Rhinolophus ferrumequinum: one gene and its partners. The protein of the gene in region 4 purifies or fractionates together with the protein of the main gene of each other region. This does not show direct contact. Links are inferred from orthologs where the notes say so. Each region holds a gene or a part of one and is shown on either strand. Other genes may lie near its edges. The genes, in order: ARHGEF7, WASL, PDGFRB and NCK1.

The links.
Region 1: the proteins of NCK1 (region 4) and ARHGEF7 purify together in Homo sapiens (co-immunoprecipitation; 3 studies listed by BioGRID and IntAct, with this or other methods). This does not show direct contact. The link is inferred for Rhinolophus ferrumequinum from reciprocal best matches to the Homo sapiens genes NCK1 and ARHGEF7.
Region 2: the proteins of NCK1 (region 4) and WASL purify together in Homo sapiens (co-immunoprecipitation; 4 studies listed by BioGRID and IntAct, with this or other methods). This does not show direct contact. The link is inferred for Rhinolophus ferrumequinum from reciprocal best matches to the Homo sapiens genes NCK1 and WASL.
Region 3: the proteins of NCK1 (region 4) and PDGFRB purify together in Homo sapiens (affinity purification with western blotting; 3 studies listed by BioGRID and IntAct, with this or other methods). This does not show direct contact. The link is inferred for Rhinolophus ferrumequinum from reciprocal best matches to the Homo sapiens genes NCK1 and PDGFRB.

The regions. Positions count from the first base shown.
Region 1 is NC_046287.1:54,062,991-54,071,217, reverse strand, and holds the start of ARHGEF7 (rho guanine nucleotide exchange factor 7), read right to left. Parts: upstream 3,068-8,227; coding exon 2,903-3,067; intron 1-2,902. UniProt on the Homo sapiens protein: Acts as a RAC1 guanine nucleotide exchange factor (GEF) and can induce membrane ruffling. Functions in cell migration, attachment and cell spreading. Promotes targeting of RAC1 to focal adhesions. May function as a positive regulator of apoptosis.
Region 2 is NC_046309.1:20,782,455-20,790,461, forward strand, and holds the start of WASL (actin nucleation-promoting factor WASL), read left to right. Parts: upstream 1-4,894; 5' UTR 4,895-5,238; coding exon 5,239-5,358; intron 5,359-8,007. UniProt on the Homo sapiens protein: Regulates actin polymerization by stimulating the actin-nucleating activity of the Arp2/3 complex. Involved in various processes, such as mitosis and cytokinesis, via its role in the regulation of actin polymerization.
Region 3 is NC_046307.1:22,396,354-22,403,582, forward strand, and holds the start of PDGFRB (platelet-derived growth factor receptor beta), read right to left. Parts: upstream 3,033-7,229; 5' UTR 2,572-3,032; intron 172-2,571; 5' UTR 14-171; intron 1-13. UniProt on the Homo sapiens protein: Tyrosine-protein kinase that acts as a cell-surface receptor for homodimeric PDGFB and PDGFD and for heterodimers formed by PDGFA and PDGFB, and plays an essential role in the regulation of embryonic development, cell proliferation, survival, differentiation, chemotaxis and migration.
Region 4 is NC_046300.1:36,440,178-36,447,223, forward strand, and holds the start of NCK1 (cytoplasmic protein NCK1), read left to right. Parts: upstream 1-4,041; 5' UTR 4,042-4,167; intron 4,168-7,046. UniProt on the Homo sapiens protein: Adapter protein which associates with tyrosine-phosphorylated growth factor receptors, such as KDR and PDGFRB, or their cellular substrates. Maintains low levels of EIF2S1 phosphorylation by promoting its dephosphorylation by PP1.

The DNA of each region.
Region 1 (8,227 bases), on a different chromosome or scaffold from region 4:
GTCTAATTAAAGCAGCATTTCATGACTTCCATTATTTTCATGTATTTTGTTAATCTAACAGTAATATTCCATCCTCTGAAACTTCTGTATCTTGACTTCACTCCCAGTGATTAAATAGGCTAGGGATGTTTAAAGTGTTAACTCATGAGCTCAGTGCCGATAGGTCTCACTGGATCCTGTGGCCTTGTGTGTTTCCCACCACAGGAGGACTGAGGGAAGCAAGTAGTGAGGGCAGGTCAGCAAAACATTCTGGCCATTACCAGAGAAAAATCAAACTATGGGATCCCCATACACGAAGATCTGGGAAACCTTGTAATCCCCACTTTTCTCTCCCCTGCAGCAGAAAACATCATGAGTAATAAATAATGAAACGTGTGTCTTGTCTGATCTGCTCATGTAAAGTTTATAGTCCCCTCTTTTCCCTGTGCAACTTTCCACCCTAAAGAAAAGCAGAACTATATGAAGGAGAACCTGAACAGAAAACTTTTTTTAAATGAGCAGAACAATCTGAACCGAAATGAATTTCCTCTTAGTTCTCCACCCTTTTACTGGCTCTAAAACACAACAAATGAGCATGATGCAAGGAACATATTAGGGCATGTTTTCCTAATAAAAGGCATATGGGAAATCTGAGCCACCCTAAAACTTTTCTTAATTATGCACTATTCCCAGTCTAATGGTTCAAAATTTTTAATTATGAATTTGCAAATGTTAAATTGCAGGCTGCTTACATCCCATTAACCAGTTGTCAGTGTGTTCATGAGGCAAACAGGAGTAAAGTTAAGATCCTTTCAATTTCATATGAATATTCTGTTCAGTTTCCAAATGCTCCTTTTTAAGGAAAAACGTCCTCAGACTAACATTCCCACATTCCAGGGAAAGCTGTTCCGCGTGTGCTTTGTGGCATACATTATTTGCTGTGCATGCAAACATCCAAAAGCTCAAATAAATAACTCTTCTTAGGAAATGGAAAAAGCTCATGAAACTTCTGAAACCCAAGGTTTCAGAGGCAGAGCGAATGGCTAATATTTTACTCCAAAAACCTACCTTTGAACCACAGAGAATGAGTAGCTGACTATAATTTGCTACTCTGATGTTAAACTTTCATTGTGATAGTCTCAGTCTAAAACAAACCAATTGGGGCCTACGGGGAATAAAAGAATAGCTTCAATAGAAGAAATTTCCAAATGACAATAGTTCTAGAATATGTTGGGTTTTCTTCAAACTAAACATTTTATTCATTCCTCTCTTTGTTGTTCTAGAGATGAAAGGCATGCTACAGTGTTCTAAGAAAATCTTCCTAGAATTTAAAAGAAAATGATTATTGAAGTTTGCCAATCAATATTAATGTAGTTAATAGGCCTATAACACGCATTGATAGTTTTTATCTAGACAGCATATGAAGTTTCACTCTTAGAATGGAATGGTATTTTATGTAAGCCTATTTTGATAAACTTAGCATGCATTTTCAATGCTTTTCAAACATCTGTCTTTTATTACCAGAGATTCTGATATCCAGATGACAACAAAATATTTTGAGTGCCTTGAAAGTTAGATCCTGCTCCTTATTCCTGTCTTAAATCATAATTTTATTGTGACATCAGGTTCATTTACAAGCAACATTTTTATTTTCAGGACAGGCAGGAAGTTATTCACCCTACAGTGCAGATTATGTTTTCATAAACACGTTCCAAGTAAGAAAAATAACTAAAACTACTATGTATGCAAAATTCATATTAATAAACTCTTTTCTGACCTTTAAAATGTAGCACCAGGACATGTGCAAACTTATAAAATCAAACAGTTTAATTTTTAAAGTCACTTAATATTTTTATTAGCAAATTTTTATTGTGCATTAGGGCCAATATGCCCATTTAAAAAACAAAATAGTTTTTTCCTAATCATGGTGTTACTTTAATTTCTACATTTAACACCTTTTAAGTAATTGTTTACCTTAAGATTATGTATTGGGGGGGAAAGGGAAAAGATTGTAGTGTTTGTCAGATATAGAGAATGTATCCTTTTTAAAAGCGCTTCTCTCCCCTCGCCCCTGCTTTGTCAGCTGTGGGAGAGGAAAGCAAACTTTAATCACTCACAGAGATGCGGGTCAAGGTTCACACTCCAGCCCCGGGGAAACCACCAGTCACGAAGAAAAGAAGCAGGATCTGTAGGGCTAGGGATTCTGTTCAAAATCAGGTAGGAACCTGAAAATGAAATCTAGAATTTTAAGCCAGCTTGAAGAATGCCAGGGCTTTCCAACCCCGCATTTGCAATCCTCTGGGTTTAGAGACCTGAGGGATTCTTTCGTGGGGAGGGCAGTAAATCATTTCACAACCCAGCCCTCAGCTATTTATGAATGCATCTTTAAAAAATGCACAGCAATTGGTCAACTAAACGGAGGACGAAACTCCCATACGATACCACCAACAAAAGCTGTTCAAACAAAGCCTCCGAGGAAGCTGTGCGCGGTGCTGAAGCACGGTTTTCTGATCGGGTCACGGAGAGGGGCGACTCCACCTTAGGGCAGAGCAGAGCGCTCCCCTTCCCTCCGGGCCTCCCCGGGGTCGTTCCCCTAGAACGCAGCCCCGACCCCCGCCCCAGCCCGCACCGCACACAATGGCGCCCCAAGCTCCCGCCACTGGGTCCTCGCGCCGCCAGCGCGCCCCTCGCGCGAGCCACGTTCCCGGGTCTGCGCACAAAGGAGGCGCGTGGGCTACCCCGCGCCCCGCGCTCTCCCATCCCCGCGCGGCCACCAGGTGCGGATGCGAGCCGCCCAGCGCCCGCGCGTCTCCGCGCATCCCGGGCCGCGGCGCAGGCAAGGCGGGGAGCAAGGCCTCCCACTTCCCGGGGCTCCCACCGCCGGGGCCTGTCTGCCGTGGGGGCGCGGGCCAGGGGCACTCACTTTCTCGATGGTCCCGGGCAGCAGGCGCTCCAGCAGCCTGCAGAGGACCACCCCATCCTTCAGAGACGCCTGCAGGAAGCCCTCCGGGTCCGAGATGGTTTTCTTGGGCGACTCCAGCACCCCCAAGGTAATGAGCCACGTAACGGTCTGCTCCGCGGAATTCATAGCGGCGGCGCGCCGGCCTCCCCGCGCCGCGAGCCCGTCTCCGCGCGGTTCACCGCGGAGCGGCCGCTGCCGGGCCGGTTGCGCTCACCGCCCCCTCCTCCTGCTCGCCCATGGAGAGGCCGGCGACGGCGATTGGCTCGGGCGGCGCCGCGGTCCGGCCGGCTCGCGCTCCCTCGCGTGCGTCCTGGCCGACTGTCAAGTGCCTTTTCATTACATGCACATGAACCTGCGGCGGCCGCCCGGCGCCGCCCCCGCCGCCGCCTCCCGGCTCCCAGCCGCTGCCGCCGATGACATCACTGCAAAAAAGAAGAAAAGACGCCGCGCTGGAACGGCCCGGCCCCCCGGCCGCACACGCACCCCCACGCTTAGTCCCCGCGGTGGTACTCCCTCCACCCCCCAGGCCCGGCAGTGCGCGCGTGTCCGCACCTGCGCGCCTGGCAGTGGACTCCCGCCCCAAGGGCCTGGTGACCTCCAGGAGGCGACAGCCCGCCTGCCAGAGAGGGCTCGCGGGGACTCCCAGTCCGCGGGCGGCGCGCGCTCTTAACCGTTTGCGCCCTGCGGGGCCCATGCGCAACCCCCTCCAGAGGTGAGAGCCTAGCAAGACTCCTCTCCTTGCCCTGTCCTTTCCGCCGCCCTCTCCCCTCCTGGAAGGACTCGGAACCGTTTATTTATATTCTTAACTCATAAATGTTTAAATTATTAAATGCTTCCCAGAATGCTCTTTTTATTTTTGCCAGTTTTATTTCAAGGGGTGGGGGAGTGCTTCTCTCCACTACCTTGTAAGCCAATAATTACAGAACACAAATGATAATTATATCTGTAACCAGATGGGTCTAATTTGAAGAGGAATTGATTTTCCAGGCGCTGCTACGATCCTCGGGGGCGGGGGGGCGTGGATGCCCCAAACAGCGTGGCCGGTGTCACGCGTGCCCCCTGCTGGGAGGCCTGTTTCCGAGCAAGTGACCTCACTCGCTGGGGGGCAGTCGGCCCCACTCTCCAGGACCAGAAAGAAACCTCAGAGCTGCTCCACTTTAAATTGATGGTGATGTTTCAAACGCTGGTAGGAAGGTCAAGAAAACAGCAGAGCCTAAACTGTATCTGTACAGATGAACTGGAAGGAAGGACTGTGCAAACAGCTCAGTCAAAACAGGCCACTTGGCCAGATCACATTTGGGCAAGAGATGCTGTGAAGACGTGCAGGGTTGGACCTAAAGTACTAAGACAACCAAATGATGCACAATGAACAAGCTTTTTCAAACAACCAAGGACACTGACACGTTTATATGTTAACCAAGGAAGAGAGCCTCATCTTAAAAGAAGCAGGTTTTAGGTGTACATGTATGTCTGTTTTCTCCATCCAGTCTCTGAGTGCTTTCCCTGTGACAGTTTAAAACAGCATTAGCACTCACCTACAGAGAGCTACTATGTGCCACATATATTAGTAGAGTAAATGACATAGACTTAGAAACCATATAAAGATTTTTAAAAAAGAGGCTTAACTCTCCTCTTCTTCACCTTCTTCCAGAATACTTTTATTGTAATCATGAATTGCATTTATTACCAGCTTTAAGTGCTTAAATTTTTCCAAATGCAAACACAAAGTAATTCAAAGAGCACTATGAATTCTGGAATATGAGGGTGGAATATTTGGTTGTAACAGCAACCACTTCCTGGGCGCCCTGTGCCTCTGCCCAGTGCTCTCTCCCTGCATTCTATCACACCATCATTAGCACAGTTCTCATTGTCCCCATTTTACTGGGGTGGAGATGGACTCAAACGTGGGCTCTGTGACTCCAGGACCAACACACCTCACCTGTTTTCTAGACCACTTCCCCTACACGCTTTCTAGGAAACCGCAATCAACAGCTCGATCAAGTTTTGTGTTCAGAGACTCTATCAAGGGAAGGGTATGGACCCAAGAGTTGTCCACTGAGTCTCCTGTTTACTCTCATTACTGCTGAATTGGAGACATAATTTAGAATACAGTCATTACAATTTCAAATTTCATTATAATCTAGTAAAAAAGAGTAACATTCAACTTGACTCAATCAAATGGTCCTACAGAAAGACAGCTCTAGGCAGTGACCTTGGGTGACCAATGAACCTGGCAGCCAATTATTGTCAGATAATAACTGTAATAACTGCCACCTATAACTGGCCTTAGAAGTCCCTGAATGTTTAAATGCTTTATAGCTACTAGTGGCATTCTTTTACCTTGGATGTACATTAATTTCAAAAATGTTTGTTTGGAGCATGCTAGAAGTAACATTGTTCAAAGCTAGGTGTTTTAGGTATTTAATTGAGCTGTTTTAGTATCCAAGGTGGACATTTGGTTAAACTTAATATTTTTCCAAGTTCCTATTATAGGGGACATGTGCTATGGAGGAGAACTCATTGTTCTATTGGGTTGTCAATGTCAGCTCAGGCACATGTCCTTCAGTTCCCTCATTTCCCAAGAGAGGATTTCAGCCTCACACCCAGCTCGACTGCCTGTTCATTCCTGATCCCAGGCATTGTTAGGGGTACACCCACAAACCATTACCCAAAATTCAGCTGAACTGGGCTAACTTGATTTGTTAGCTTGTGGGTACTTGGATGATGGTGTTACAAAGATGTTAAAATCTACCCCAACCTAAAGCCAGACAGGCAGATAACTATTTACCTAGAAATGTGTAGCAATCACTGTCTGTAAAATTAATTTTATTGATTTGGACCATTATCTAGATTGAACAATTCAGTAAGAAGCAGTTATGTGAAGTCCATTGTATCTATTGTATGTTAAGGCACTCGTTTTATCAAACTGTATCTTATTTATTTGGCATAAATATGGTCACATACAAAAAATTAAAGATGTAAGGCAGGAAACAATAGCTTAAAAACATATATGGCTGAAAAATTACTCAGGCTCGGAAGACATTTTACCAATATAGTATATTATGAAACATAACGTCGGTGAAGCCCTTATCTTAGTTTGGATTCCCACAGAAGCAGATCCTGGCCAACAACTTGGGAGCAAGTAGTTTATTTAAGAAGTAATCCCATGATGGACAAATGAAGAAGGGGAGAAAGGGAAACAAGAGGGGGAGAAAAGTGAATCAAAGGTGTATAAATGAGCAACTGGGGCTCAGATCCCCTGGGGAGCCTCGAGAAACAGTGGAGCAGGTCTCAGAATTTTCTGACCAGAGGATGGGCAGGCTAAAATTTATGCCTCGACTCCCATCTCCTGAGATTGAGGGTCTTCCCCAGGGCAATGACTTCTAATACAGCAGAGCCTAAAGTTGCAGAGCAGGAGGCACAAATACCCTAAGTGGATCAATGGGAGTGATGGTAAGAGAGGCCAATGGTATTTCCACCCATTGATGCCTGGATGCTCCTTTTTAGCTACGTGGGGGCACAACACGATATAAAAGCCATTGGTTCAGTGTATGTGCCACATCCTAACTCTGCAGGAAGTCACCCCCAAGCTGGTTTCCTGCAAGTATCCATCCAGTGAGATGAATTGCTTCTGCCTCCAGGACTGTAGGGCTCTCATGTAATCACCTTGCCAACAAGTGGCTGGTTTTACCTCATCAGTGGGTTAGAATCAGCCTCTGCTGTGGGTAGTTAGGTCAGCCTTCATGAGAAGGAAGCCACAGCGTGGTTTTTTGCACTCCTCCATCCCCACCGCCATGACGGACTGACTATGGCCGGTTGTGCAGGGCCCTGTGTTGGTAAGCAAAGCCTGGGCTGGCTTCACTTGGCTACAGACACCATCTGTGTGCCTGGTTGCTGAGTGTCCCTTCTTCAGTGATACTCTGAAGATTGATGTGGGACTCAAGACCCACACGCCCGTGTCTGTACCCACAGTTTCCTCCACAGCTCCTCCACCACTTCCCTGCAACCATTGATCCCATCTTGCCCCTTCCAGGCACCCAAACAAGGAGCCCAGACACCCACGACTGTGCCCAAGCATCTGTACCCAAAGGAGATGACCAGCAAACTGCTCCAAGCTTTGCCAGTCAGAGGGCATCTCCTCACCATTGTCCTTTAGCACCACCCTGGAGTTGGGCTGTAGTGTGACGGCAGTCCAGATTCATTCACACCAAATTATCAACCAAATCCATTTGTAAACCAGGCCCATTCTCTCTCTGTCATCTGGGCATAGTAAAGATTCCACAATGTCACAAGCGTGAACTGAGGAGTATTGGGAATCCAATCAAGAGAGACAGGTGATTTGGAGCTCTGGGCCACTTGTGTCCATAGTTTCCTGTGCTTTCAGAACGTCCATGGCCATGCCAAATGCACCGTCCCTGATTGGTGGATGGCTGTTGTGCCAGCTCTACCTGATCATTTGGTGCTCCTCCCTGGTGGCTGACTTTCAACTCTTCTTTGACACTTTGTTTTAAGTTAGATTGTGTAAACAGCATAAGCTGTAGTTTATTTTTTATGCCTCTTTGATAGTGTCTGTGTTTTTTTAAATAGGAAAATAAGTCCATTCGGATTTAGTGTACTGCCTGATTCACTTTATCTTTTCCTATCCCTTTAAATAAATTATGTGTTTTATATTGTTGTAAACCTACTTTTTATAAAGCAACAGACATTTGAAGATTAAACTATTCCAATATTAAATCCTAATGACACTATAACAGCCAGGGCTTGTTGGAAAACAAAGTGTTTTACAAATCTGTTTTATCCTCCATGTGAATTTAGCTCAAAGATACCAATGACTGTCATCCTCAGTGCTCTTGACTGGATACTACATAAAATAATGGAGACAAGAATAGACGACTGGGCAAGAGGACTTTTTTGATCTGTTGTCAAGTCTGAAATGAACATTAATCTTAAAAGAGGGTAGTGTTTTGATTTTTCTTTTAAAACACCCATTGATATTTTTACCTATATTCCATGCAAAGCCTTAAAAAAATTTCTGTTGGAGAAGTACTTTTTGAAAAAGAACAGAAGCAGATACCAACAAATAACTATTTGGTGACATAATTAGTTGCCTGCCATATTTTATCCTGGGGTAGCAAAATCAATGTTACATGAAAATTTTTTGCTTTGTAAATGGCTTCATCCATTTGAATGTAATGTCGACTTCCAAAGAGAAAGATTTTTAATTGCCCCATTTTCTGACCTTTTGACTTATTCCAGAAAAAAAAAGTACATCAAACAAATTATGGG
Region 2 (8,007 bases), on a different chromosome or scaffold from region 4:
ATATAGCACGGTAGAAGGAACCTAGAAGGTCTCTGATTTAAAAAAACAAAAAACCACATAGGTGGATGTAATAGATTCTGATACATTTGATTATGTGGAAAATAGTATGAGATGAAATTTTATAGTTGTTAAAGAATATAGAAAAAATGAAAAAAATTAAACAAAAGAAAATTTGAGGAAATTATTGAGGGGTGAAAAACAAAATTAAAATGGTACAAGAATGTAAATGTAATCATAGTGTAATACTTGACTCATCAGAGACATACATATTGTTCTATGTGATAATGATTTAAACACAAATTGTGCTATAACTATAATGGCGGAGAAAAAATGGGGGAGTGTTAATTTAAGAGAAAGAAATCGTCACCATTTACAATAGGAAGTTAATAGATAATGCTGTCAATTGATCAATCAATACATAGCAGCTTGGCATACTACAATACATATCAGAAGAAACAATGCAAAGCAGATATATTTGGGGAGAGCACATGGGGATAGAGAAGGAAGCATGGAGCTTGTTTTTTTGTTGTTATTAGCTTTGTAGTACTATTTTATTTTTAAAATTATGTGCATGTATCAATTTTATAAATCTAAAACTTGATTTAAAAAAAGTTAATGGTATAGAACATATTCACCCCAATACTTTCAGTGAGGTAATGGGACACATGGCTTCGTCATGCTGCCTACCATCCATAATGTAAATTAACCTTGAACACATAATAAAGAAGCCAATGTTTGTCCCCTCTCCTCTGGAATAATTAAATTGGGAGCCATTGAATATTCATTAAAGTTAAGGAGCAGGGGAGAGAAAACTAGTGAGCAGCATCTGGGGAACTACAACACACTCAGTTCTTCAAATAATTTCTTGCATAAAGGCATGCATTAGGTATCTGGAGAGTAGGCCATATCGTGGTAGTTACCATCACTGGTAATTCACTACCATAAGTAAGAATTTAATGTTCCACTAACACTAAGAAATCAGAATGGGTTGTAAATAAACTATCCATTCCTAAAAAAGAAAGTCCCAAAGAGGCTTGTATTCAAAATGAATTGAAAAGGGAGAGAAAAACAGTTTGGTAGCTTACTTTTCAAGATTTCAGTTGATGACAATTAAAATACTTAACATATAACTTGGGAAAACAAGTACCAAGACAAATTCTCTTAAACACTGCCACATGCAACATTTACATGAAAATGTGAAGATGTTTTACAATGTGAACATTCTAAACCCATGACACTTGAAGGTTGCAAGGGAGAAGGGACAATCACCCCCTTGCCATATCCGCGCTCGCTGCTGTTGTCTCTATAACTCAGTTCTGCCAGTCAAGCAGTAATAGTTAAGTCAGTCCTGCTAATTGGCCACGGCTGCTGAATGCCAAGATCCCTGGGTGCAGCTGCCTCTATATTCCCCTACAATGATGGGTGTCACTACAGTTTAAATTATTAATATTAGCAAGGGGAACAGGGTGTTTCAGAGGACTTGTAACAGTACATAAACAATGATATTTGTAAAGAAGTAAAGTGGATTAACAAAGGACCAGGATAGGAGAAATTTACAATGTATAATAACGGCAGGGAATGCATCTGAAAATATGCCCTCCTTTCCATAAATAAGGTATCCTAATGTTTTGTTAAAAATGAGGACTGTAGTTTAAAGGATCGTAGCAAAGAAAGAAGAAAATGAAAGTACTAGAATAGATTCTGAATCAAAGAAAGTCAAGTGGAAGAACTTTTAAAAATTGCCTTATTCTTAGTTGTATTCATAATACAGCATGTGCATTTTACAGGTATATGAAGATAGAATCCCTACAGTATTCTTAACCTAGGTTACAAACTTCAACATACTCACTTGAAGGGAAATAGAATCCTTCTTATTTCCTGGATCAAATCCAATTTCTCAAACTGGGTAAAAAGAATTTGAGATAAGAAAATAACTTGCCAAAGAAAACAGAGAGAAAGATGTCTTGTGTTTGGCTGAAGAGAGGATATGCTATCAAGAATGAAAGAAAGAAAGGACTTGCTAAAACTTTTCGAACAAACAGAGCCAGTACTGCTTGGTCTCACGATGAACATGGAAAAATAGAATCCTTGTATGCATAGGAAGGGGGATAACCCCAAATATTGTCTGTGCACGTGTCCCAAAGAATAAGGAAGGCGCATTTAGTGTTCACACTTATATTTTCCACATTTTAAGAACAAGGAGTCGAAAAAAGCCCAGATGAAAGCAAAAGTAACAATGAAGGAGTTGAAAATAAGAACTTAGACTGTAATTTTGTGGACAAAATACCATATTTAAAATTTTGAGGAAAAGCTAAAGAAGCAGTTTGGGCTTGAGAAAAAAAGCCTGTGGTGGTTATAATTTTCCATCTTCATTTCTAAAGCAAAAAAGAACCGGGCAAATGGTCAGAAAATTTCACTTAGAAACATAAGATTTTAAAAATTTTCTCAAAGGAAAAAAAGTAATTAAAACAATAAACAGTTTAGGCTAACAAGAGGTTGTGAAATGATTAGAAGCCAGTGATTCTCCATGTGGGATAGATTCTTCAACGCATAGCTACTGTCCATTCACCCATCCTCCCGTAGCTTCTTTTTCACAGCCCTCTTCCACATCTTTCTACTATCTTCAAAATGGTTTGGTGGACTACAAGTTTTAAAAGCGGGCATTCCAACATAAAAATTGCTCTCATTCACTTTTTATTAATTAGAAACTAATATGATTCTGTCTCTAGATTTCTCGTTTTAAAAGCTTTGTAATTTTGGCATACTGAGAACATAGAGCCTATGTGACATAACATATACCCTAATTAGAAATTCTGCAAACACAAAGTGATACCCCAAATTCACTATGTATTTGGAGAATGACGCAGAGTTCTAAATAGGAAGGACAGTTTTCAAAGTATCAGGTTTAGATAGAATAACGATAAAAACACCCATTTCAACTCAACTCTTGAACCTTTAGCTAAGGGAAGGTAAGGTAGACCATAGGTAATGATGGTGAGTGACAGACAAGTAATATTTGAGTAACCATGATGTAGCAGGTACTTTACATTGTAATCCTGGTAAGTTTTACAACTTTGAGGTAAGTTTAATTATGTTTATACTATACCTTTATTAAATAGAAATTATTTTCTATTTTACAGATGAGGAAACTAAGACTTAAGAGAAGCAACTTGTCCAAAGTCCACAAGGTTGTAAATGGCAGAACAAGAACTCCAACTTAGGCCTATGTGAAGCCTTTATTTTTGTTACTATCCTGGTTTGAAAATACTAAGGATCTAATTTCTATCATTTCTCAAGCATTTCTAATGCTTTCCACTATTACTGCGGTTTTAATTTATAGGAGCCTCAAGTTTGATACAAGACTAACTGCTTTAGCTTCTAGGTTATTTTATTAGCTCTGTAATTCAGAGGAAACTCCAGGTTGACATTTCTACTATTGTTTTTCTAAACTGAATTATTTTATTAAAAGTCCACTCGCTTTTTAAAAAATCACATTTTCCCTAACGTTATTAATCAAATGTAATTTTGAAATGTCCATATTTTGTGTGAGGACTCCCAGGACTACATGACCGCATTTACCTTTGTCAATTTGTTCCCACTTAACTTCATTAAGGGCAGTTCTCAAGTTTCATATTTTCAAAGTGCACTGATAATGGCTTATCAATCTGTTTAGTACATCAGAGATTTGTATTGGAAGCTCTCAGAGATGTTAAAATCAATTAGTTTCATCCAATTTTATTTGGCATAGGATGGCTTAAATTTAATATATGGGAACTTTATTGAAATTGAGTAATTAGCAAACATGATGGTTCAAGTTTATCCAATAAATGCTGATTTGTTTAAAGGGGAGAAGTCAGATGTTTATTCTAATTCACTGTTGTGGGTAGTATTTATCATTTCCATATTCCAAAACTTCGTTTTAAAAGTTGAACATTAAATTTATTGAACAGAAGAGTTTATCTTGGGTAACTTTCAATATTTGGAGGTATACGAGTTTTTCTTTTTTTTTAATTCCTGAGATTTACTTCTGACGATTAAACCAGATGATGTATTTTCCTGTATGGCAGACATCCCCAAACGGGCACAGTCATTTTGGATAAGAAGAAAACAAGGTCTTCGGGGTTTGAGAGAAACAAAAAGATGAGAAGCGAAAAAAGGAATATTTTTCAATTCACAAGACAGGGGTTAAAAGGCGTGTTCAGGACCCTTAAAAGAAAAGATCTTGGATTTACATGTGACAGACACACTCATCCGATGTGAGGAGACGCCAGGCGGACGGTAGAAATCTCAAGTGCGTTTGTTTTTTGTAACGTCCATCAGCAAGATCTCCCTTTCACAATGCTGGGTGAGGCCTATTTGTTCCTCCACTCCCACTATTGAAGTTTGGACAGAGTTTAAGAAATCCCAGGCACCTGCGGCTCTGACCGAAACCGGCGAGGAGCACCGGGGACCACGTCACTTCTCTTCAGTGTCCCGTGTCCGCATTCCAGACTTTCTTGCCGTGCGGTGTGAGCGTCCCGGTTTCCGCGCCCCAGAAATCAGAGCCATTCCGGGGAGGGGGCCTGGGTCCGCACAGACTCTTCGCAAAGGTCGACGTCTGTGAAAGAGGGACCGGCAGCTCGGGGCCGGGGCCGAGCGTCCTCTGCGCTCCAGACAGCAGCCGCTGGGCCGCAGCAGCCGGGAGACGACAGTAGAGGCTGGTCCCGCACCCCGCACCACAGCCTCGCATCAGACCGCGCAGCCCGCGCCTCGGCCGGAAGGGGCGGGGCTCGGGGCCGGCGCGGCGAGGCCGGCGGCGCGTGCGGGGGGGGGCGGTTCCTCCCGGGCCCGGCCCGCAGCCGAGTTTCCGGCGCGCTCCCCCGCGGCCTGCGTCTTGTGGTCTCGCCCGCCCCCGCTGCCATGTTGGATTGTGCGGCCGCCGCCGCCGCCGCTGCCGCCGCCGCGGGAGGAGGGTTGGAGGAGGAGTTGGGAGTTTAGCGCAGTCGCCGGAGTGCGAGGGCAGCGACCATCCGGCCAGAGCCCAGCCGGGCGGGAGTTGGGAGCTTCCCTTACTCCGCGCGGCCCTCCGTCGGCTCCTCCTTCCCGTGGCCTCCCTCCTCCTCCCCGCGCCGGAGGAGTTGAGCGAGATGCTGCGCCTCTGACTCCCCTCCTCCCGCCCCTGTCACCGAGAGGGGGGACGAGCGCTCGCCCACTCGCCGGAGGACACGGACCTGGACTCCCAGCCCCGCCGGCGACACCATGAGCTCCGGCCAGCAGCAGCAGCAGCCGCCGCCGCGGAGGGTCACCAACGTGGGGTCCCTGCTGCTCACCCCGCAGGAGAACGAGTCCCTCTTCACCTTCCTCGGCAAGAAATGTGTGGTCAGTGGTCGAGACCCGCGTCGCCACCACCGACGTTACCTCACGGGCCCGGGCCGGGAAGTGGGAGTGGGGATGGAGGCGGGAGCGGCGCGGGGAGGGTCTGGCTGCTGGCCAGGCCTTCTCCCGGCCCCGCACGGGCGCCCTGGCCCCGCTCCCTAGGTGCGGGCAGTGCGGGCCCCGGCAGCCGAACGCCGCCACCCGGAGCTGACCGGCAGCAGGGAAGTGTCACCTCCGCAGGCCTGTCTTGGAGCCCTGCTTGGCCCGGCCCTCCGCCCTTGCTGCTGGTGCAAACTTGACTCTCAGGCCCAAAGGCGATTTTCTTGCACGAGCTGCTGGATCTTAGCAACCCGGCCCCTGTCCTGGCCTTCGCTTCACCTCCTCCCGCTTGATCGGGGGGTCCCCTCCGTCACAGTGCCAAAGGTTTCAGGAGTGGTTAGGTTAGGAAATGAAACCCAGATATGAATGAAGCGGACCACACGGTGGTTTCAGTTCCCCTTTAGGATCTCAGGAGGGAATGCTGTGCAGTGCATGGGTGCAAAAGGAGGGCAGGAAATGCTACTGTACCCCACTGCAGAGAAACGGTTTGTTTCTCCAGCGTTCTCGCCCAGGCCTGATTTCTACTGTCCTCCCCACTTATTTATTTATTTTTGCATTGGTGGGAGGAGGCACTGCGCTCCCCACTGCCATGCGCAGGGGAACCGCAATCTCTAGTAGTTCTTGGCCTTTTGGGGCCGGAGAACGATTCTTAGATTGGTGGTGTGCGGCCTGTTCCGACCCCAGATGGCGGGTTGGGAGCCAGCAGTTCTGCTGTGGGAAGGGGAATGTGTGTTGTTGACGGAAGCATTCATTACATTGGCTGCCGGCGCTCCTGGGGGTGGGAAGGTTCTGCCCTGTGGTGTAGGCCTTGTCAGGCTGCATCTTACTGCGGTGGCTGGGTTGAACTGTGGTTGAGTTTGTTGCAACTGCTGAGTCCATTTCTTGCCCCTTTGCTTGTTAGCACCTGCAGAATATGTGCCGCTGGAACCCAGGAAACACCTACAGAAATGTCAACAGAGCAGTTTTACAACTTTTCTTAGTAGTGTTAAATATGTCAAACCAGGCTACACCTGCTTGTTTAAGAAATTAGAACTAGACAGTTTCTGGAAAGTTACCGGATTAATTGTTAACTTTATAGGTGGGAGTCTACCCTTTGTGTTCTGTCCCATCCAGTTGGGGATTGAACCATTTATTACAGGCGATTCAGATGTGTTTCATATTTCAGAAGTTAGACCTTAAAGAACATATTTGGAGTTTACTGATTAGAAGAATTAAATAGGAGTGGCTTAAAATCAGAATTTAGGAAACAACTGTAAAGATATTCAAGTTTCCCTCCCCCCCACCAGCTTTTTTAAACAAATGAGAAAGCTGAGCCAGTGAGCCCTAAGTCACACAGCAATTTAGTAATGTAACCAGAACTAGAAAACCAGGACTCCTGATGCCTAGCCTGTGTACTTTCCACTACATCATGTTGTTTGAGAACGGTTTGTTCTCCCTTGTTATTATTTCTAAAAGTTAAAGAAATAATCATTTTTTATTTTTTTTTTTTTACCAACACCAGATAAAATTAAAAAGTGTGAGATTCTTAAAGCAGCACTAATTTTTGCATATGTTCAATTTAGGAAAATCTCCAGCACTTTGAATGTTAAATTATCTGCAAAGAAAAAAATAATTAAAATTTTGCTGATTTATTACATTTGCTATGTAATCTGTGTCAGAAAGGAAGTAGTTTGTGACTGTGTTTTACATACCAGACACATTAGCTTTATGCAGGAAGGACGTTGGATTTATATGCAAGTATACTTACTAATAGCTTTGTGCTTACCTGTACTGTTTACTGGTTTCAATAAATGGCAGGTGTGGAAGAATACTGTGCTAGAGAAAGAGAGTGTTGCTTATTGGTTAGTGTGAGTTGGTTGCTGAATAGGCTTTCTGTATTCAGGGCTCAATTTCTTTATGTCATCTATTATTAATCAACTTTACCTTTTGAATTTCTGTCATATAAAACCACACTGTTACCTGCTCTTCTGGTATGAAATTATTTCGAAGATAAACTTCAATATTCGACCTCTCCGGTTATTGGAGAGTAAAGTAAGAATGATGTATTAATTTTTTGGAACCATCTTTTTTTCCCTTTGATGACTATGCAGTTTTTGTAGTTAAAACAGTACTGAAACACAGTTTATTTAAAAAAAAAAAAATCCAGCAATAAGATTTACAGATCAGACCACACTTACATTTGTTAAGCAAGAAGTATATTCAGAATCGTAGTCATGGTGCCAACTCTCAAGGAGTTTCATTCCTTCTCTTACTCAACAAATAAGTATTGAGTAACTAAATGCTGAGGTCAAAACCAGGGTTGATGCCTGCCCTCAGGGAGCTTACAGTGTTTGAAAAGGAAAATGTGTAAACTGATGAGTAAGTCAGTTCTTCAGAGTGATGTGTAAGAGGTTGCATGTCACATTGGAAAATGTCTTTGTTTTGTAGTCAGCAGATGGGGGTTCAAATTTATATGGTCACTTTGGGCAAGTTTTTTAAGCTCCTTATCCTCGAGTTGGTTTTCTCATCTCTAAATTATGGATACTGTCTCTTGGAAGGGGTTGTGGATTAGAA
Region 3 (7,229 bases), on a different chromosome or scaffold from region 4:
CAGCCCACTGTACCTGGAGGATGGAAGTGAGCCTTTAGAATACGCACGTTGGCCAGGCCCCTTCCATGGGCATGGTCCTTTACGGGTTGCAGACCAATTTCACAGCCAAGTGTCCTGTGCAGGAGGCGGGAGAGCAGCGGCCCTCTCTTAGCCAATGGTATCAGGTCCTGTCTGTGAAATGCAGGGACTGTGCTAAGCGTCTGACCTACCCTGTTATCTCATGGGACCCACATATCGCCCTGCCGCTCACGGAGCTGAGAGCTGATGCCCAGAGGAGCAGAGCAGTAGCCCAGGGTCACACAGTCAGGCAGAAGTCAACTCGGGGGTTAACGCATGGCCAACTGACACTCAGACCTGGTGTTGTTTACCCACGGTGCCCACTGCCCTCCAGATGCGGAGGCAGCCCAGAAAGAACAAGTGGGGGTCTGAGGCTGGCCACACAGTGGATTTGAATTAAGCCAGGGCAAGCGCCAGCTCTCCTGACTCTGAATCCACGGTGCTTTCCACTGCCCCACATCTGTGGGCAATTACAAGTCTCAACTCTTCTTCCCACAGAGGAGGGAGGGCTGCCTGAGCATGGGGGAGGGGAGGATGCGGACCAGGTGGGTTTCTTCCCCACTCCAGACGGAGCCAGGGTCGGGCAGACCCAGGAGCAGGTCAGGCTGCTGCTGAACCTTCTGCTTCGGACCATGCTAGAGGCAGGCGCAGGCTATGTGGGCGGATGGAGATATGCTCCCCTAGGACCAGGCAGACCGGGGGCCTAAATACCACCTCTACTGTGTGACCCTGGGAAAGTCACTTAGCTTCTCTGAGCCTCTGTTTTTTTGTCTGCAAAGCAGGGGGAATCATGCTGATTCCAAAGAGCTGCTGTGGGGATTCCAAGGCATGTGAGGTCCCAGGCTCTGCACCTGGCACAGAGTCAGCACTCAGTGACAATGACCAACAAGTGTCGTGGATTCGGGGACCTCCAGATTGGAGGCAGGGGAGGACTCTTAACTTCAGAAGATCACGCTAGAGGCCTCTGTGCACCTTGGGATCACAGAGGCAGGCAGGGACACTCTTCCCTGTTTGACATAAAAAAATGCATTCAGGAAGAACCGCACGATGTTCTGGAAGGGCCTCTGAGGGAAGACAGAAGGCCTGGGTTCTCGTCTCACACTTGGGAACAGAAAGTCCTCAGTGAGTCCCTCCTCCCTTTCCCCAGCACATTTTCTCAGCCCTATTGCCCACCTGGGGAAATTGGGGACAGAACACAAGATGGGGAAGCTAGGGGCCTGATCAACCACTGATGTGCAAACAGAACACGACTAGCAAGACAGGGCCAAGCAACAAGCCTCCAGCACAAAGGGCACAGCGAGCACTTGGAGAACCTGGGAGGCTGCTTGGAGGAGGTGAAATAGGGAGAATCCTTGAAGGGAAAGTGGAAGTGATGAGGAAGAACGAGTCCACAGACAGGATTATGCAAATTCCTTCTGGGAATCCTGGGCTCTGACTGGAAGGAATAGGACCACAGGACCAAGTGTGGAGTGATGGGGCAAGGAGAGCACTACCTCCCCATGCTTTGCCACTTCCTTCCTGTGTGGGACAGTTTTGTGGCTGCTGTGAGCCTCAGTTTCCCCACCCATAAGGCAGGCGTAAAATCAGTCCCTGCCTCTGGAGTTGCTGGTGAGTGGTACGCGAAATCACACTTACAAAGCTCTCCACACCGTCCTGGCATGCAGTAAGTGTCAATCAGTGGCAGCGCGGTTAGGAGTTTGGGCTTTCTACTTGGGAGAGTCACAGAAAGAATCCTGGTCCAATTCATGTTTTAGGATAGAGTGGAGAAGGGGCAGCGTCCAGAAGGAAGGAGACAGCCAGGAGGCCTGAGCAGCTGCCTGGGACCAGGAGAAAGGGCCCAGCGGCCCACCCCCCTTCTTCACAGAGGGGCCCCCAGATCTGATGGCCAGCAGGGTCCAAGACCCCCAGCCCTAGTTGCCTGAACATGGCCTGCCAAGTGCCAGCCCCCTCGCCTTTGCACTTTCCCAGCCGCTGGGGGTTTGGAAGGACATCTTAGGAATCTGGAAAATTTGCAAATCCATTTAAATCCCCAGAGGTTGCCTGGCGGCCACTGGCCTAGAGCCAGACAGATTCGTAGGGACAAGGCTTAGGTCCAGGGACAGGGGTTATGGCTCTGAGGTTCCCTGGCCCCTGCTAGATCCCGTTCTGGTGTGCCCTGCTTGCCATCTCCCAATTTCCTTCTCATGCTCCTCCCTACTCGCCCCATCCCCCATAGGCACTGCTGTGCTTTGGAGGCCCCCACTCAGCACCCAGAAACCTCTGGGGTTTGTTTGATGAGGGCAGGGGGCAGCAGGGTTGAGGAGGCTGGGGCCACCCTCCCCAGACGCGGACTGAGCACGAGAGAGGAAAAATCTAGTCCCTCCAGCGCCGCTGATGTCCCCCGCCCATAGCCTCCAGCCTCCTCCCATCTGGTTTTGTTAAAAATATTTTCCATTTTTGACCTATCCAAGAAGGCACAGGCTGGAGTTGGGGACAGGACAAGGAGTTGGGGATCACCCCTCTACAAGCACTTACCTTGCTGCTGATACCTTTTGATGTGCACAAGGTCCCGGGCTCTGGGCTGTCACCCCCTCCAGGAAGTCCTCCTCACTGCCTCTCCTGTTATCAGAGAGTCTTTGCCGGCCCGAAATGGGGGCAACAGCTAGATAGGAGAGCAGAAAGGACCGTGGTAGGTTCCCGGAGCCTTGGGAGAGGGGAGGAAGTGGGGGGCTGCAGGGGTGAGGAGTGGCCTCACGCCCAAGGCATCCTTCGGGAGGAGCAGGGTTGCCAGGAGGGGCCGCCCTGGGTCTGGCTGTCTGTGTCGCTCCGCACTGGCTGCTGCCCTGCAGTGCTGGTCAGAGCGGCCCCAGCGCTTTCCTTCTCGTCCTCCTCCTCTCCCACTCCAAGTTGCTCAGAGAGCGATCCTGGGTCCCAGACGGGGCGGGCGGGCAGGGACTGCGGGCTTCTGGCAGCCCCCAACGCTCACACCACTGCCGGCTTCCCTGCCCCCCCTACTTTGGGGGAAAGGCTGCAGGGCAGCCTCTGATTGGCCCAGCTGAGAGAAGGGGGGCGGTGGGGCGGGGAGGGTGGACGCGTGCGTCTGTTTTCAATTTCAGCTTTTTTCCCTCTCTCTTTCTTTCCCCCCAAGTTTCTTGTTTTTCTTCCTCTTTTCCCTCTGCTTGCTCCCTCCCGTCGCCTGCTCTCTCAGGATGTGAGGGGATGTTTAGAAATTCCACAGCCCACGCCAGACGCTGAGTCACTTTTATTAAAGAGTGCCCCAGCCCCACTCCACTGATGCCCATCTCAGGTAGCAGCCTCCACTTACCGTGGCACCTGGGAGCAGGTCCCTTCTCTGTGCCTCAGTTTCTCCATCTGTAAGGGGAGGTCTGATCCCTTATACAGTTGATTCAGTCAACATTCATTCATTGAACAGCATGTTGAGCACCTACTAGACACTGCACTGGGTGTTGGGGATGCAGAGTGAGTAAGACACAGTCCCTGACCTCACAAGTGCCCAGGCCGGTGGGAGAGACAGACGGTGCACAGGTAGGCACTTGAGAGGAGGCAGGCATCTGAGAGTGGAGCTAGAGGGTCAGCTGACTGAGGGTGGAGGGAATCAGAGAGGACTTCTGAGAAGAGCTGACTTAGAAGAGATGGAAAGACCTTCCAAGATTATCAGCCACTTCGCAGAAGAAGAAACCAAGGCCCAGCGGTGAACTGGTTCAGAGAGGAAAAGAGACTTGCCCAAGGTCACTAAGCATACTTCAGGTTTCCAGACATATCCCTTTCTATCATCTTAAAGCCCCTGGAACCCCAGGAAAGGGTTATTTCCCCATTTTATAGATGAGGCGATTGAAGCCCAGAGGAGTGAAATGAGTTTCCCAAGCTCACACAGCAATGTCAGAATTGGAGCAGAATTGGGTCTCACGTGTGGCACGGTGGAACAGACAAGGGAAGGACCACATTACAGTATAGACTGGCCCTGCTATCCTGCCTTCTTCCTAGGTTATCCCTTTTCCCGTCTCTCATTCAGTCACTCAACAGGTGTTTCCGAGTACCTGTTAGGGTCCATTTCTACCCTCCTGCCCTCCCTCCCCACCAGGATCTCCTCCAGGACCCCGGCCAGACCCTCATCCCTCACTCCACCCCTCCTCATGTCCTCAGATCAAAAGGTGTCGCTAGCCACAAACTCTTGGCCCCTACACGCCACACAGCATCATTTTAAAAGGACTTAAGAGTGGTGAGTTACCCCTGGCTCCCACTACTGTACACACGGGAAACTGAGTCCCAGAGAGGGACAGAAAGGTATCCCAGGTCACATGGACAGAGCCTGACTCTTCTCAGGGCTCCTTCCATCCTGCCCTCTGCTCTTCTGTCTTTGCCCTTCTTTGCCTCTATCTTTGCCTCCCCCAGGGCCTTGTTCACAGGGCAGGGGGTTTGCTTGAGCTGGGATTTCATGCTAACCACAGTAACCTCTCTTGGCAGTCATTTCTTGGTCTTGTCCTGGGGACTGCACAGCAGAGCAACTGGGCTGGGCCACACAGAGGGATAACGGTTCTCAGACTGGCCCCAGAGCAAGGGGTGGGGGCCATGAGAGCCTCCCAAAAGAGGGGCTGGCCCAGCTTGGTAGCAGCAAAGTCATAGGGGAATACGGGGGACTCCGAACCCAGAGGGTCAGGCCATATAGGGATTTCTTGTGCCCAAAACTCCTTTGGTGTTTATAAGTCCCTTCCTAGCATTTGCTTTGGTCATTCACCTCCAAAGTCTTGGCCCAACTGCTGGGACTAAGACAGCTCTGTGACAGCAAGGAGGCATTGCAATCCCTAGTCCTTCCAAAAGCTAGTCTGGGAGTCAGGAGACCCAGCTGTGGACTTGTTGTGTGGCCTTGGATAGGTATTTGTCCTCCCTGAGCCTCAGTTTCCCCATCCCCATAACACATGGGAGGATTCACTGTGCTGGAAGGCCCTTGGGATGCTCTGTCTGCAAGTTCCTTAGAGTTGGACTCTGGCTAGGAAGAGGAGGCTGGTGGGCCCCAGGGCAAGGGGACAGCTGGGGGCCAGAGATGCAGCAGAGGGGCGGGGGTGGCTGGTGGTGGCTCCCCCGGGAAGCTGGCGGCCGCCAGTTTCCGGCCAGCCCAATCTTCCGGCTGGCCCATCTGGAATCACTTAGCCCCTACTACCATTAACCCTTGGCAGACACCAGTGCTGTTACACCTCCTTTTAGCTGAGATGGGGCTGGGGGGGTGCAGAGCCATGTGGAACACAACAGGGCATTCTCCGAGGGCGGGACGGGTGAGACAGAAGGGTCATGACTGACAGGGCAGGTTTGAGAACCAGAGACAGAGCTGGGTTCAAATCCTAGCTTCTGTAGTTCCAAGCTACGTGACCTTGGGCAAGTAAGTCATTTAAGCTTCTGAGCCTCAGTTTTCTCCTCTGGAAAATGGATAATTTGAGGAATGATTCGTAGAACTGTTGCCATATGTAATGCACTTAAAGGGCTTACTCAGTACAGTGTCTGGAAGTGTAGGATTGAAATAGTGGGTTTCATTCCAGCAGCACCCCATCACTGTGTGCCCCTGGGCTGAGCCCTCCTTCTCTGGACCTCATTTCCCCCTGTGCACTTTGAAGGGGTGGGCAGTGGGCAGTGCAGCACCTCTGCTCTGGCATGGCCAGGAGGAGCCATGAACAGTCTCCCACCTGCCCAGATGCCGGGAGCCTGGTCCGGCCTCAAACAATCCTGTGTTGGAGGAGGCTGGGCTGAGAGTGGGTGGGCATGGCGTGGAGTGTGGGAGTCCTGCCTGACGTAGAGTGGGATATGGTGCAGAGGCAGAGCGGAGCTCTGTGCCTTGGGGTCCAGCACTTCCTCCCCACTGTGTAGCGGCACGTTCAAGCTGAGCTCTGATGTCTGTAGTTCCGACCCAGCTCTGCCTCTTCCTCGCTGTGGGTCCTGGACAAATTACATGATCTGAGCTCTCTCAGCCTCAGTGTTTTCAGCTATAAAATGGGGATACATGTGCTTACCTCACAGAGTTGTTGAGAGGCCTAAATAAGTGATGCACAGAAGGCATTTTATACAAGGAATGCAGCAGAGCAAAAAGATCCACAACAGGTGACGGAGTCTCAGGTGTCTCTGGGAGCCGCTGTCATAGCAGCCCTCCATCAGGGCAGGAGGAAAGCTCAGCCCACCCCTCATTGTACAGCCAGGATGACTGAGGCCCAGTGATGGAAAATGACTGCAAGACCAGGACTGGAACTGAAGTTTTTGTCTAGACTCTCAGGCCCATGCGCTTCCTGAAGGAGGGAACCAGGCTGAACGAAACCACCCCCCAGCCCCCCACCCACGCCTGACAGAGCCGGAAGCCACAGTTCTCAGTGGGGTGGGTGTGGGGGGAGAAGGGGTCCTGAAAGGGCGCCTGAGTGGGAGAATTCCCAGTAGGCCGGCTCAGTTCTCACTCAGGCAGGGCCAGCGGCCACCACATCTGGCTCTCCCACGCTCCCGGGACTGGCCCCTCCACCCCCAGGCTCCCCAGGCTCAGGCCGAGGAAGCAGCACACGTCTACCCAGGCACCATCAGCACAGTCATGGTCAGAAGAGTCCTAAGAGTGAGTTCATTATACAGGCATGGAAACTGAGGCCTAGGGAACAGAGGGGACTTGCCCAAGGTTAGCAGAGAGAGAAAAGTTAGCAGGACTCCTGGCCCCCAGCTCAGTATCCTTCCACCCTGTACACCCTGAGCAGGTAGGTCCTTGTACTTGCAGCCGGGGAGCTAGAAGAGGCCCACAGTGGGAATTGCCCTTCCCCTCCTGGACACTCAGCATAGTGGCTGGTTGTCGAGTTGGGCAGAGGGACTAATGCGGGCCTTTAGGCCACATTCCTGCCCTAGATAACTAGGACTGCTCTTACTGGACCAGACTGTGCCACCAAGACCTGACAGGGTCTCAGGAGATAAGGGCTTCGAGACTCTACCTACCTCGGCCTGTCCCCAGCCTCCAGCTGGCCTCAGCCTCAGCGCCCCAGGGAACACAGCCTCAGTGCCCCTTCTGGTACACAGATGGCTCAAGGATCATCACAACAGCAGGACCCTCTGAAGCCACAAATCTCTCCACACCAGACACACTGGGTCCCAGAGAAGGCCAGAACTTGCTCAGGAGCACATAGCAAGTCTGGAATGAGGCCTCTGACGCTGACTCCCAG
Region 4 (7,046 bases):
TCCAAATTGAAGCACCGAAAGAAAAAGATTTGGGAAAAACAACAACTTGGAATGACTTGTAATAAAGATGAAGAAATATAGTTTAAGTATTGTCTCAGAAGAAGAGATAGAGAGAATGGGGCAGAAAAAAAATATTTAAGAAAGACTGGTCAAAATTTTTCCAAATTTGATAAAAGGAAACAACAACAGCAATCCACAGATCCAGGGAACTAAGGGAACCTTAGCTGTACAAATGCAAAGAAAAACCACCCCTAGAAACATAGTGTAACTGCTGATTAACAAAGATAAAGAAACAAAATCTTAAAAGCAGCGAGAGAAAAAGATATAACATTCAGGAAAATAATGATAAGAATTACAGTTGATTTCTCATCAGAAACAATGGAATCCAGAAAACAACAGAAGACATTTAAAGTGCTGAAAGAAAACTCTTTAATGGCTTCTCATTGCCTATAGGATAACGTCTAAGGACCTTAACTTCCATAGCCCGATATTGCTTACATTTCTAGTCATCGTCTGCTCCAGCATTTCTCTACTATTGTGTAATATCTTTTTATGCAGGACTCTACGTGGAAGGCCCTTCTTTTTGCCTACTTAATTGCCAGAATAGCCTGAACATAAAACTCCCCTCCCTCTGTGGCTTAACATCCCTCTGTACATATCTATTGCTTGTATTTACTATTAATATATTATCTCATTCTCGGACACTGAATTGAACTCCTTTAAAGTGATTGTTAGATCTCCACTACCTATTGTAGTGCCTACCACAGAGTAGACTCTCAGTAAATTTTGCTGAATTAATTCCCATAAAAGCATAGTAACACTCAATCCAGAAATTAAATTTAGTTACCAGGATTAATGCACTAATTTCTATACATCACAGTCAAGCCTGTGATTAGTTCTTGCAGATTAGTAAGTGGGACTTTTTTTGGTCCTAAACAGTCCTACCTGATGCTAAACCAGATCATTCTCTCTAATCACTTCTAACTGTAAGCTATCAGTAGTTTCCTGGGAAAGGCCTTGAGATGTGAGATTTATTTTCCATTCCTTGTCTTCCCAAGTCCTTTCATTTCAGGCTAATGAAGTGAGCTGCTTGCAAGTTTTTATCCCAGACAGATTAAATACCCATTTCTGAAGCCCCATTTCCAGTCCATAGGTCCAAAGTTCTGACCAAAATTTTCTTGTTGCCTCATTCTGGCTAGACCCTGGTTCACTCAGCACTAATTAGCAAGGGTGATTCCTGGTTTTGATTTGAGATCTACTAAAAGAGGAAAAAGAAGCCATATGCTTGTTTATGTTTGAAAGTTGGGGAGACAGAGGGTGTGAAAGGAAGTCTCTGGAACAACTCCCATCCCATAAGAACATGGACTCCATTCCTTCTAAGTACACCATGCTGCAATTTCATACATGACTTTCTGCCTAGCTACCCTTCCACCCAATGCTTTCCTCTTTTATTGCTGTTTCCTTATTTTTCTTTAACTCCTCTTTTTCATATATTTTTTCTTTTTTCTTTTTTTTTTTTAAAGAGTTCATGGTAAGAATGGATGATGAGGAAACTTAAGGAAGGAAAACTAAAGGAAAAAACATGTTGTCATGCGGGGTGTCATGCGGGGTCTCTGGTCCCACTCCCCACATAAAAACGCAGGACATGGTGAAGCCAAAAAGGAACACCCACGGAGCCATAGGTAGGGGAGTCACACCACTATACTCTCACTGGTGGCTGGGTTGGAGACACAGGAACCAGGAGCAACACAATTCTCAACCCTCACTGTGCCGCTTGCAGACTCAGCCACCATCTTCTTGCTAGCTCCCCCTTTTCTGCTAGTGTAGCCACGGCAGTTATATTCATGGCTAATGGCTCACTGGTTACAGCTGACGGCCAACTAGCCACAGCTGATGGCCATTTGATCACAGTCGACGGCCATTTACTACCTGAGCCAGCACCTTTCTATGTGAGGCCGAGAGCCTGGAAACTGCTTTCTGGGGCTCTGTCCCCACACGTTTGCAGGGAATTAAAATACTTTTAACTCCCTTAATTCTTCTAATGCTTAAATAGGTGGCACATAGTAGTTAAGATATTTGCATCAAAATCTTGTGAAGGGTCTGTTCAGATCATTGGCCCATTCAAAATGCATATTGCCTTACAAAATAAAATCTTAAGACTTCAGTATATTTTTTTCTGAGTTTATTTTCCCCATTAAGGTAGTGGTATAAGCTGCCTGATCGCAAGGACTACTTTACCTGTTGTAGTTGTATTCAAACCCCCTGCCCCCATCACATGTTAAATGTGTAACTAGAATTCAGCTAGATTTTGCTACCAGTTTACTCTGTGATTTTGGAGAAATAGTTTTAACCTCTGAACAATGGTTTCTCCAGCTTCAAAAATGAATATTCTTTTATCTGAATCCATAAACTTTGTAAGATGTACCAACGAATAAAACTATTGTATTAGTCATCTCAGTCTGCCATAACAAAATACCACAGGCTGGGTGGCTTAAACAATAGAAATCTAATTTCTCACAGTTCTGTAGGCTGGAAGTTACACACCAGGGTGCCAACATGGTGAGTTTCTGGTGAGAACTCTCTTCTTGGCTTGCACATAGCTGCCTTCTCACTGTCTCCTCTCATGGTGGAAACAGGGTAAGCTCTCTGATGTCTCTGCTTATAGAGACATTAATCCTAAAATATTAGGGCCCCACTCTTATCACCTCAGTCAACTTTAATTACCTCCTACAGGCCCTGTCTCTAAATGCAGTCACATTGGAGGTTAGGGCTTCAACATATGAATTTCAGGAGGGCACACAATTCCACCCATAACAGCCATGATAAAATATGCAAAGGTATTTAGACCCTTAGAATAAATTCAAAATCCACTTCTTCACTTTGGATGCTAATAATGGGATGTAGACGTAGAGTAGCTGTTGCAGTTTCAAGAAACACTTGCCCCAGCCAAGTCGAAGGCAGGAAGGGGTCACCGGTGATTTGTGCTTGACCTTGTGATCCTATATATGGCAAGCAAACCACATATATTTATCAAAACTCGAATAATTTTGAAGTTGAATAAAAGTGTGAACTTTTGGGACTGACAGGGCCAGTCTTAAAGACAGGAGAGAAAGATTTACTGCCTTTAACAATATTTACTGACGATGTGTCACATGCTAGGCACTGGGGGGAAACTGAAAACTGACATGGCTCCTGACTTAACATAGTTTACAATCTAGGTAGGGATACGTACAAACTACTATGGGAAAATACCAGTGCTCCATGCAGGGTACCTGACGCAAGCAGGCTTCCCTGAGGAGGCTGGCCTAGCTGAGCCACAAAGACGGTTAGGAAGGAATGAGGCATGTTGAGGGGGGAATGGAGCCCCGGCGTCGGAGAACCAGTTTAACTGCTGTTACCTGGCTGATGGCTGGGGCTGACTGAGTTCCGAGGAGTGGGCAAACCTAGCACCGACGGTCACTGTCCTTGCTCCTCAGAGCATGACCACCACAAACGAGACTAGAAGCTAGGCACTAGGGCACTTCGAAGGCCCTCAGACTCAGTTTATTTCACTTTGTGGCTCAATTTAAGTATACGTCTTACATTTTTCCCTCAGGTCCCCATTTGCAGACCTTTTGGTTTTTCTTCTTTGCTCCCCGCCCCTAAGATCTTTCTCAGGCAGGACCCTCTTCTGGAGCAGAAACCAGGAGGAAGATCCCAGAGCAGTTGGAGCTAACCTCGGGAAGCAGTCATTTGTGCTGTAGAGTCTCTCCGGCGGCGCTGAGGAGGAAGGCCCAAAGCAGTCAGCCAGGGAGGAAAACGCGACGTGAACAGGGTGAGGTCTGGAGATCCTCTCACCCTCCAGCTCTCTCTCTGGGGTCAGCCTCCGCTCACTCCAGCACAGCACTTGATTGACAGGCTTGTCCGTCCAATCCCAGCGCATCGCAGACCACTCTCGCGTCAGGGATAGGAGGGAAGGGGGCGGTTGAGCCTATCAAATTAGGTCAGGAGGGGACTTCCTGCCGGCGCGGATCCGACCGCGGCCTCGCGACCAGTCGGCGCTGCAGCCCCGCCCGCCTGCCTCGCGCGCCCCGCCCCTCTGCTGAGAGCTACGCGGCGGCGGAGCGGAGGCCTCGTGCCGTAACGGCCATCGCGGCGGCCGCGGCGGCGTCCGGGTGCCCTCCTCAGGTGAGCTGGGGCCGCTGGGGCTCGGCAGAGGGAAGGAGAGACGGCTCTGCCGGCAGGCAGACGCACAGAGACCCTTTCCTTGCCCCTTGCGTTCACATAACGTGTTATTAGCTGCGTCGCTTCCTCTTCCCCGGCGAAGTTGGCCCGGGGGGCGCCGTCTGCGGGCCAGGAGCTGAGCCTGAGGGGGCGGGGAGGCCTCTCGGCTGACCTGGGCGTTTGCACTGTGGCTTGGCGCACCCTCCGGCCACTGCCCTGGGGGGCGCGGCCCCGCGTCTTCCCTGTCCGTCCCCCAAGCGCCAGGTCTGGGTGAGCCCCCTGGCTGGCGGCCCCTGCGAGGTTGGGAGGTGGAGTGTACAGCGTGCGCGCTTCTGTTTCTTTTCCTCCCAAAAAGTCATCTTGCCTGTTAAGGCGTAATGCAAGGGCAGGAAGGTATGAACGTGGTAGGGGAAGGAAGGGGCGCGCTCACCTCCAGCCCTAGAGGAGGGGAGGGAGGGACCCGTGCCCTGTGCGGAGGGTGGACATCTACAGGATGCGCCCTCGGCCCCTCCCCCACCCCAGCCGTTTCCCTGGTTCTTGGGAAATCTGGATTATTTTAATAGTTCCGTACGTGAGTTGCTTGGGCTGTGAGCTTTTGACTTGAGTTGTAATATATCCGGTAAAAAAAAAAATTACCTCGATAGGTTGGTTTTGTAACCTTTCTTACGTGTTTCCATGAAGTTAAATTTGCCAATAGGAGCTCGAGAAGCTGAATTTTGTTCAGGGTTGAGAACCATAACATTATAGACGCTCAATTATTGTCGAACTGATGAACTGGTCATCTGAAAATAATTCTGCCCGTTAGATTTGGTAAGAAACCTTACGAGTTAGGAAAGGATGAAGTTAAGGAGAATTTTTTAACTCCGTCTTGGGTGATGAGCAAAGAAGTTCAGTGTCCGGTTAAAAAGGCAAAGTGTTGCCGAGGTATTCATTTTTAAAATCTTAACTTTGGTAGATATGTGAAAACCAACTATGCAATTTATTAAGCACCTGGAAAGCACTGTACCTACAGTCTCAATTTTCAGCGAGGTCACACAGTAAATGGGGAAATAATTTAAGAAGGTTTGGTTTGTTTGGTAATTACACTATTCAGTTTTTAAAATAGGCATTCCATTCAGTTTGACAGTAACTGAAGAAATATGCATTGGTTGACTAGTAGTAGTTTTGTTTCATCTTGATCACAAATTCTGGAATTTTCTTCTTTGGGAAAATTGTGATCTATAGGAATTAGCTATAATATCTGTAAACACTATTTGCAGAGTTCAAGACTCCTCAATGGTGCTTATTTGCATATTAAATTTTAAATTGTTTATTTTTCTAAGCGTTATCTTTTAGTCCGGGTTTTACCACTGCTTTCAGGTCCATGTAAATAAAACTAGAAGCATACAGAGAATGTTTTATTAGATACTGAGTGATACTTTATGCTGCTGGATTTATTTCCTTTGGACCTTTGAGAACTTTCCTCCCAAAGCTCAAGGTACATTTGATTGTTATAAATCACTTGTCAGGAAGACTTGATTTAATAAATACAGATGTAGTCCATTTTTTAAATCATAGTTTAATAACTTTTACAATTTACTCACCTTTATAATACAGAAAATTACCAAATGTTTTCTACCTACACATGAAGACTAAATGACTATTTAGTTGATACATAAAATTGGAGGAAACTCTTGAAATCACTAAGCATTTAACAAATTCTTCATGAATACTTTGCTATGCTTGTTTTAGGAAGACAACTGACAGGGCCAAAATTCTATCTGGATGATCCTCATTTTAAACTATTTCAAAGATAGAATTTATAGTCCTTTTTTCAAAACTGATTCCATATGCTGTTTTGATGATACAAATCTTGGTTTTATCTTTGACTCCCTCAATCCACATAATGTTGGCCAGTTTTTGTCAAGCCATTTTTAAAAATTTCTTTCAGGTATCTGTTCATTTCCACTAGCTTTTAACTAGGTTTTCAATCTGCCGTTTCTTCCTACTCACTACGTCCAGCCTTCTGCCTAATCTTAAAATAATGCTTTGAACATATCACTCACTGTTAAACCAGCAATAGCTCCCAGTTACCTATATAGTTCAGAATTCCTAGCCTTCTAACAATATGCTCAAACCCTAGTTTTTCTAATGACATCTCTGTTTCTCTATAGGAGCTGTACACCCTAACCAAACCAATCGCGTTCTCATTTAGACTTTGTATTTTTCTACCTTTATATCTGTTGAGACTTTGAATGTCTATGCGTAGTCTAGGTGTTCTTTAAAAGAAATTTATCTCGCTAAAGAACCCAAGTAGCAAACGAAGTCAGATTTTGTTGAAGTTTCATTTTTGGTCCTTCATCGCAGCCTTCCAGATCTTTCTATTCTCTGTGTTTTCCTTTGAACTTATAGCCCTTATTTTATCATTGGGTTTTAATCTGATATGGGCATGTATCATAATATCATGGAACGATATTGTGGGAAAGTTGGAATCTAACCTTCCGTTTTATAGATAAGGAAAATGCAATGCATACAGAATAACTGCACTGAAATTCACACATCTTGTAATGGTGGCAGAGTTAAGACTCAATCCTTGACTTCCTATATTATTTCCTAACTCAAGTTCTGTATATTTTTAGAAATTTCCTGTGTGTCTCTTATGAAACTGTATTATTCCTCTCTTGCAATGTTGTTTTGTGTTGTTTGCTTCACATTACTTTGCGTTTTGTGTACTTGAGCTTTCTCATAAATTCAGAACTTTTTATGGGGACAGAGGAACCTTCATGACCTGCATTATTTAAATTATTGAAACAGTGATTTAAAAGTCTATGTACAGCCTTTTGTATCAACAACATTAACAAAAA